Drosophila melanogaster: one gene and its partner. The protein of the gene in region 2 purifies or fractionates together with the protein of the main gene of each other region. This does not show direct contact. Each region holds a gene or a part of one and is shown on either strand. Other genes may lie near its edges.

Region 1 (5,087 bases), on a different chromosome or scaffold from region 2:
GCATTTAATATGTTGTTAATACATATGCGCATTAAAACAGCAAATCACGTTTATCTACTCCGCAGAAGTAGTTAATAGAGATATTTCAACGAACTAATTATGCTTATTAAAGTGAATTAAGGTTATGATTCATGACTCATTATTTATGACACATGCAAAGTGGATTTTTAAGTTTTGAATAAAAACAAAAAACTTACACTCCAGCTTCATGAAAATCGCGTGTGGGAAACCGTAGCGTTAAGACTACCATAATATATATATATATATATATTAATTAGATTTATTGCATACAAGGCCGTCTGAACCACAATGGTACGTAGGCCCACTTCCTACGCTGAAAATATCATGTCATGTCCTCTTCAAGGGCGAATTACTTTTGTTTATGCAGCATTTGCTCGAAAGTTGAGGTAGGTAGGGCAAATCATTGTCAATAAATAAAAAAGGTCTATAAATAAACTAATGTGAATGAAATTATCAATCATCACAACATAACCATGTCCAAAACAAACACAGCCGGTGAAAAGATTTCTATTGTTTTTAGCTGGGAGAAACCCGATTAAATAAACATAAATTTGTGAATCCAAATAATACAATGAGAAAATGTACAAATACCTCGCTTTTGTCAAAACCTACATTAATGAGCCTATTAACATTTATACCAACACTCTAAACATTAATCAGCTTTCTTGGACTACAAAACGCAGTCTCATAATCCTCGTAAAATGATTGATATCTCTCTTATTAATTATAAGAAACCCCAACAAAAACCATAATTGTTTAGACTTGTGAACAAAATTGGATCCGACTTTATTGATTACGTTGTTAAGAGAACAAATCTTTTACAACTGAATTCATTTGTTCTCGTTTCATTTTTTTTCGCAAAACATTGATCGAGAATTCGATTGATTTCCGATTCGAATTTAGTTCTCGTCGACCTCAGCCTCCTGCTCCTCCTCGAACTCGGCGTCCTCGTCGGCGGTGGCCTCCTGGTACTGCTGGTACTCGGACACCAGATCGTTCATGTTGCTCTCGGCCTCGGTGAACTCCATCTCGTCCATGCCCTCGCCGGTGTACCAATGCAAGAAAGCCTTGCGCCTGAACATAGCGGTGAACTGCTCGGAGATGCGCTTGAACAGCTCCTGGATGGCAGTGGAGTTGCCGATGAAGGTGGCGGACATCTTCAGACCACGGGGCGGGATGTCGCACACGGCGGTCTTCACGTTGTTGGGGATCCATTCGACGAAGTAGGAGCTGTTCTTGTTCTGGATGTTCAGCATCTGCTCGTCGACCTCCTTCATGGACATGCGTCCACGGAAGATGGCGGCGACGGTAAGGTAGCGTCCGTGGCGTGGGTCGCAGGCGGCCATCATGTTCTTGGCATCGAACATCTGCTGGGTCAGCTCGGGCACGGTGAGGGCGCGGTACTGCTGGGATCCTCGGGAGGTCAGGGGAGCGAAGCCGGGCATGAAGAAGTGAAGACGTGGGAAGGGCACCATGTTGACGGCCAGCTTGCGGAGATCAGCGTTCAGTTGGCCGGGGAATCGGAGGCAGGTGGTTACGCCGGACATGGTCAGGGAGACAAGATGGTTCAGGTCACCGTATGTGGGTGTCGTCAGCTTGAGGGTGCGGAAGCAGATATCGTAGAGAGCCTCGTTGTCGATGCAGTAGGTCTCGTCCGTGTTCTCGACCAGCTGGTGCACCGACAGGGTGGCGTTGTAGGGCTCCACAACGGTGTCCGACACCTTGGGCGACGGCACAACCGAGTATGTGTTCATGATCCTGTCGGGGTACTCCTCGCGGATCTTGGAAATCAGCAGGGTTCCCATACCGGAGCCAGTGCCGCCGCCAAGGGAGTGTGTGAGTTGGAAGCCTTGCAGGCAGTCGCAGGATTCGGCCTCCTTGCGGACAACATCGAGCACTGAGTCCACCAGCTCAGCACCCTCTGTGTAATGACCCTTGGCCCAGTTGTTGCCGGCACCCGACTGGCCGAACACAAAGTTGTCGGGCCTGAAGATCTGGCCGAAAGGTCCCGATCGCACAGAGTCCATGGTGCCGGGCTCCAGATCGACAAGGACAGCGCGGGGCACGTACTTGCCACCGGACGCCTCATTGTAGTACACATTGATGCGCTCCAGCTGCAGGTCGCTGTCACCGTGGTAGGCGCCGGTGGCATCGATGCCATGCTCATCGGAGATGATCTCCCAGAACTGCAAATGAGAAATGGAAGTAAAGAATTTGGGATTAGTGCGATTAGGACTTGCAGGTGCTGTACAGCATTTCTTGTGAACATGAGTCAGCAGGAAAATCGATTACTAGGGGGTGTTTTCTAACTCAGTCTTAAGAAAATGTATGAATGACTTGGCCAATGAGTCATCACAGAAAATCAATGGTAGTAAAATTACTCAAAGCCTAGACCATCTGCTGCATACATATATACAGCTAGTATTTATTTGACTGCTTCACATAAATCACAAAAGAAGTTTATGCTTAAGCAACGGTAACTTTTATTTGCACAAGAGTACTGCAGTTGAAGAAAACTTTTACTAATCACTGAAACTCATTTCCAATTCTGCAAGTAATTTGCTTAAAATTTTTCTTCCATACCCAGTGAAAGTTGATGCATGTGAAAGGCAATCTTATTTTCTTGTTTTTCTCTTAACTTATACAGATAACTTCGATACAGAAACCTTCTCGAACAAAATGTGTGATGGGTTATGGAAAGTCAGTCTATATATAACTCTTTATTGATTGGAATAAATGGGCACAAGAAGCAGCCGATGTACATACACATGTCTGGGCTCGGCTACGTGGTTTAGGCCACCCATGTACGCCATCATAAACTCTGTGTATGGGCCGAGCTCCGATTAACATAACTTATTCGCTGCCATTTTTGGTGCGTTTCCACCACCACGACCAGCAGCACCATCGCCACACCAACGATAACGTCATCTGGCGTGGGTTTTCGTTTCGGATCTCGAGGCGCAGCTGTCATTGCGTTCCGCCGACCGATCTTACTCGAATCTTCGGGCGTGGGCTGGAACTGAGCTGTATAACTACTATCTGTCTGTCTGTCTATATGTCTACGTGCTGCCCCCACGCAATGCCGGCGACCTCAGAGCCGGGCTCTGCCACCCCAAAAAGCCCCCCTGCTTCCGATGCGGCTTACATCACCGGTTGTTCGGGTCTCGCGACCCACTCTCGTCTCTGCAAGAGGGAAACGGAGGAGGAGTGGGAGGAGCAGTGGGTACCAGTTGGAGAGAGGCGTTGGCGTTGTCTGTTTGCTGAGAGGTTAAAACTGCAGCTCAGTGCTCCAACTACCGACCATCTGGCGCATAAATCGTCTGTTTTTCAGGGCATTACGTCACCTGAACTTTTTGCGATGGTCGTTGTTTATGTCGCGTAAACAAATAAAAACAATTAACCGAAATAAGTCGCTACACTGGTATTGGAGGAAATGCGTGGTTGACACTCGTTTAGCGAAATGACACCGTCATACCGGATTCTATGTATATAAAGTGTATATATAAATATAGAAATACACATTTGTAAGCCGGTCGGGTCGAAAGCGAGAGAGAGAGATATTGAGAGCCATACTTGGGCACAACAATTCTGATGTTGCAGCTGCTCGGGTTTTAAGGCGTTTCCGAGGGTTGTTTTCGGCTCATGGGCCCATGCCCAGCATGTGGGTATTGATTTTTCGGGCAAGGACTAGAAAGATTCGTCATCATCAACATCACCTTCGTGTCCTGTGCCCCGTTATCCCACACGCATGTGCAGCACCGCCCTTCTCGGTTTCGTTGCTTTTTGTGTGCGAGAGGAAACTGGGATAGAGACAAACAGATGGCAAATTCCTCTATATAAGGTCATCATCTCACCTTGCAGACTCCCAATTCCTACTGCTAAAAGTAAAGTTTCATTTTGGCACATAATGGCCGAAAGAGAACCGAAATCTGTCTATACTATAGTCATGAATAAAAAATAGAAAATTGTTTCATTCCATGATAAGATAGAGAAGCCGCCGAAGTAGCGCAATTTTAAGTAGGGAGCAGAGTGTGGAATGCATGAAAATCAATAGAACAGCTAATGCAGCCTACGAACACATATATCTACATACTTATATCCCATCTACGTATAAGATCAACTCTTATACGTTCTGCGAACCGTTCAACGACGACCGGTTCAGCCATTTTAGGTTAAAATGACGTCATGTTTTCTCTTTAGAAGACGCATAGCGGCAAAAAAAAAAAAATTAAATGAAAAAACCGGCCGACGCTCACACATACAAATGAGCAGCAAGCTCTTATGTGCGTGTAGAAAAGCTATCGTGTTTTGACGATAGAAAAGTACCCTTCACCATCTGGGCAGTGAAATGGCTTTCACAACCGGTGAAAAACTATGAAAGTCTTTCGCCCAAGAGAAAATGACTCATGCATGCAACACGCACACAGGCATACACACAGCCACCAGCGTCGGTGTAATTGCAGACACACCCAACTATAATTACTTACATATGTACATACATATGGGCACGAAGTACATATGCGAATGTCAATGGCCCTAAAGCATTATATCGATCGGAAATTCGGGCGTAACAAACTTTCGTTCTAAATTTTGGACCCCAAATGCCAGAGTAGAACAACAATTTTCAAGCATCTTTGCGAAATCGGACAAATATGCGGTATATACAAACACAGATGCCGGGACTCAAAAAGACCACTCGACACACACACGCACACAACTTGGTATACATAAATGCAAATGTGTGAGTGTGAAAATGCCGGCCTCAATACAAATTTTTGCCACATGGACAGCGAAGTCGTGCAAAAATGACGCCATTTTGGCAACTGTACTCTGGATGGAAAATGAATGGAAAATGCAAATGGGAAAACTTACCTTGGCGCCGATTTGGTTGCCGCACTGACCAGCTTGGATGTGAACGATTTCCCTCATTTTGTATTTGTTTTAGGCTTTTGAACTTTTAACTTAAAATTATCTTTCGCTTATAGCAGTCGAACACAACACAAACTGTCCGCTTCACACACTTGGAAAAATTAGTGCATTCGCTTTGGAGAGCGCGGGCTTTTATA
Region 2 (3,777 bases):
GGACTTGGCTGCTCGCTTCTTATGGGGTTCTGCTTCCGGAGCGAACATTTCATAGTCCGGCAGCAGCTTTTCTATGCGCTTGTCCTGTTGCGAAGTGTCCAGCAGATTATCGAGTCCTTTAGTATCTGTCGAAAAGTCCAGGGAGAGGGCCAGAAGATTCGCCTGCAGGGCGTCCAGACTTGGATCGTTGATGAGATTCGGCTGATAGTCAACGCGCAGCTTCTTGATGATCTTTTGGAAAAACTCGACTTTCTGTTCGTCAGCAGTGTTTTCCGTATTGTTCCAGTCCTGCAAGTCTAGGTGGCGGATGTGCTTGGCCTCCGGCAAGTAGACAATCTTGAATCCGTCACCGCAGAGCAGAGAGCGATAGTTCTTATCTTCCCCATTATCTGGGGCCTCTACTGGCACAAGTGCCACATAGCGAGGTATCGACTTGCGCTTGCACATGAACAGGCAAATGGCAATCTTGTCGCGCACCAAGCATCGTTCCCACAATGCGCGGAACAAGCGCTTCGATCCGATGATGCTCTGATCATCGGGGTACATGAAATTCGCTGGCTTGATGTAGCTAACTTCGGGAAGAGAGGATCGATGCTTGAAGCCCAGCAGCATCATTTGCGGCTTGTGCAGATTGCGCACCCTGTTCAACTGATCCATGCTGATGCGCAGATCCCTTTCGCCCACGTTGCAAGTGTACCAACCGCCCGTCACCTTAATCTGATACTCGTGCTCGATATCCTGCGAGCCATCGTCCTTTTGTTTTTGCACCGTAATCACTCGCTTAGTACGCACCACACTGTTGTCCCTGCGCAGGATTTGCACTTTGCGCGGATAGGCGCGTCGCTGAAAGTAATTGTAGTACTGTACGGACATGGATAGGTTGGGGCCCAGATAAAAACTGAAGTGGCCCAGGCATCGGCGAAGGAAATCCTGCTTCAACTTACGATCGGACAGGATTTCGCGCAGCATCTGGGCATCTGGCACCTGGAAGGCGTCCAGTTCGATAGCTGCAAAAAAGGTCCTCATTAAACATCATCTAGTGTACGGATTGCTATATATTTATTTTATTATTCTTGTAAGCCAATCCAAAACCACGAACCAATTGAGCTTCACTTGGATGCGGGTGAATGATTGCTTATATTTGATCTACGAAGTCTTAAAACCTTTCAGGCGAAAATTGAACGCCAAACAGGGGAACAGACTTCGCACATTAAAACCCATAAGAAATGAATAGCAGACTTAAAGGACTTACCTCTTGACAACGTGATGAACTCCTTGTAAAACGGCTCGTAGTCAAAGTCATCGACCATGGGAATGACATGAAACTCGAACTCCTTGCCCTCCAGATCGCTGGCCTTTTGCAGGGCAGCCTGGAAGTGATTGCTGTTCGATGGATGAGGTTCCCTGACGTCCGTGACATAGGCGATCTTGGCGTTGTTTAGCTTCTTGCCGCACTTTTCCAGCATCTCGATGCAGAGCCGGATCATAAGGTCAAACCTGCCGCGACCATCGGGTTCCGCCAGGCCATACACATCGGCGAACTGCGTCTCCACCCCGCCCATGAATTCCAGATAGTGCTCCACAATGGGTTTGGTTAGTTGGCGAAGGGGCAAGAACACTGCGCAGTTATCCGGCATTACGATGTTGTCCAATGCACTGGCTTCCAGCGGCGGCGGACTGTGCTTGGTGTTGGCGAAGATGAGTCCGATGAGGTCCTTGTCGTTAACCAGAAGTCCGGATATAAAGGCCGTCCGGATGATGTTCAGTGCCTCCAACAGGCGCTCCACGCCGGCTGTCTGAAGATTGGCGTCTACCACGAACAGAATGGCCTCGCGCCCATGGTAGTCCCGCTTCATGGACACATCCTCCTCGTCCTCGGACCCAGACAGCAGGTCCACATCGTTCTCCGGATTCCAGGTGCTCATTATGCGGCTTCTTTAGATTGCTAAAAATCTGACTTTCCGCTAATTTCACAAGAAGGCGGGCGCGCTTATCGTCGCTGTTGTTATCGATTGAGCTAGGGATGAGAGTCACGAAGAGAATTGATATATATTTAAATTTATTTAGACATTATTTAATGTTTTTAACATATTATATTATCCCAACGTTTATTTATATAATTATTTTAATATAAGTTAGTTTTACATTTTTATACGAAGTTGACCACCACCTTTCGATGACAGCCATTCAATCGATTGTTCCATCGCAATTTTGACTCATCGACTTTTACAGCGGCAGGCTGACCTCCTGAAAATTAAATTGCATTTGTAGACGGCACGGCTGAAGGCAACAGGATGACAGGAATAATGGACTCGGTGGAAATGCCCAAATTACCGGAAAACCAGAAGACCTTCGCCGGCATCCCGGAGGCAGTGTTCCTGGTGAGTGGTCCTAACCTACAAGCGTGCACCTGCAGCTGGACACTGCAGGCTAATTCGTGGTTCTTGGGCCCTTGCAGGAGGAGATCGACACCTTCATGTCGCAGCCGGAGAACGAAAATTGCGAAAAGGTGCTGCAGCGACTGGACGAGCAGCACGGCAAGTATCGATTCATGGCCTGCAATCTGGAGGCGCGGCGGCGCAAGTTGAAGTCTCAAATTCCGGACCTGGAGCGCTCCCTGGAAATGGTCAATGTGCTTCGCAAGGAGGACGAGGAGCGCGAGACGCAATTCCTGCTCAGCGACCAGGTGTTCATCAAGACACTGGTGCCGCCCACGAAAACAGTATACCTCTGGCTGGGGGCCAGCGTGATGCTGGAGTATCCGCTAGACGAGGCGGAGGCTCTGCTGAACCAGAACATCACATCGGCCGTGGGCAACCTAAAGTCCGTGGAGCACGATCAGGATTTTCTGAGGTCAGTTCGAGTGCTGTTATTCAAGTTACTTGTTTTATTGTATTATAAATGTATATTTTAGGGATCAAATCACAACTACGGAGGTGAACATGGCGCGGGTCTACAACTGGGGCGTGAAAAAGCGGCAGGCCGCTACCAAGACCACCGCCACTACCCCATCCTAAGGAGACCCACCCAAATCCCATCCCAAGATCAACATCGGTAGCAGCCACTCGCATCTTATTTATTTCGACAGTACACCGCAAGGGCTCGGCAGGCGATTCCACCTGGCTTATTCTTGTTCTCCACTGATAGCAATAAAACCGCCACACAAACGCATCAAGCTGACTCCAAACGAGATGCCTATTCCGGAGGAATGTAATATTTTAATTTGGCTACGGGCATTTAACTGCATGTAAACCGAATAAACGGCGAACGCAATTCATTGAGAGTAAAGCCGAATTCACAAATCATAGGATTAGGGTTCAGTTTATTTCAAATCTTTAACATCCGGAACTTACACGCCTCATTTGACCTCCCACTTCATGGATTGGTGCAGGTAGTCGCCATCGGGACTGACGTAATCCTTAATGGGGGGCGTGGCAACGGGTCCTTTGACGGCGACGGGCAGCAGCTGGGGATCGATATCGATGGCCGCCTGGTAGAGCTCCTCGGACTCGCGCCGAAGTTCCGCCAGCGCCTTGTTTTGCGCCTGGACCAGCCGGTCGATGATCTGAAAGTCTGCTACGCGCTCGTCGTGCTTGTAGTGCGCCCACTGCTTCTTGAGGAGAGCACGTTCCTCCAACTGGTCGATGGTCAGTGGAGCTAGCTTCCGCTGCCGTTTGCTGAACGATAGGATAGCATTACATCTCAGCATATGAGGGAAACCCGTATGAGAACCTACTCCTTTTCGTCGATGAGCTCCAGTGGAACCTCCAGTTCATC

The links.
Region 1: the proteins of mgr (region 2) and betaTub56D purify together in Drosophila melanogaster (affinity purification with western blotting; one study listed by BioGRID). This does not show direct contact.

What each region holds. Positions count from the first base shown.
Region 1 is NT_033778.4:19,446,540-19,451,626, forward strand, and holds betaTub56D (beta-Tubulin at 56D), read right to left. Parts: upstream 3,061-5,087; 5' UTR 2,872-3,060; coding exon 2,788-2,871; intron 2,208-2,787; coding exon 921-2,207; 3' UTR 780-920; downstream 1-779. UniProt on the Drosophila melanogaster protein: Tubulin is the major constituent of microtubules, a cylinder consisting of laterally associated linear protofilaments composed of alpha- and beta-tubulin heterodimers.
Region 2 is NT_033777.3:11,408,286-11,412,062, reverse strand, and holds mgr (merry-go-round), read left to right. Parts: upstream 1-2,187; 5' UTR 2,188-2,294; coding exon 2,295-2,381; intron 2,382-2,458; coding exon 2,459-2,853; intron 2,854-2,914; coding exon 2,915-3,017; 3' UTR 3,018-3,271; downstream 3,272-3,777. Other genes in the region: Irbp (inverted repeat-binding protein), read right to left, coding at 1-1,007, 1,253-1,925; mRpL40 (mitochondrial ribosomal protein L40), read right to left, coding at 3,359-3,677, 3,737-3,777. UniProt on the Drosophila melanogaster protein: Binds specifically to cytosolic chaperonin (c-CPN) and transfers target proteins to it. Binds to nascent polypeptide chain and promotes folding in an environment in which there are many competing pathways for nonnative proteins.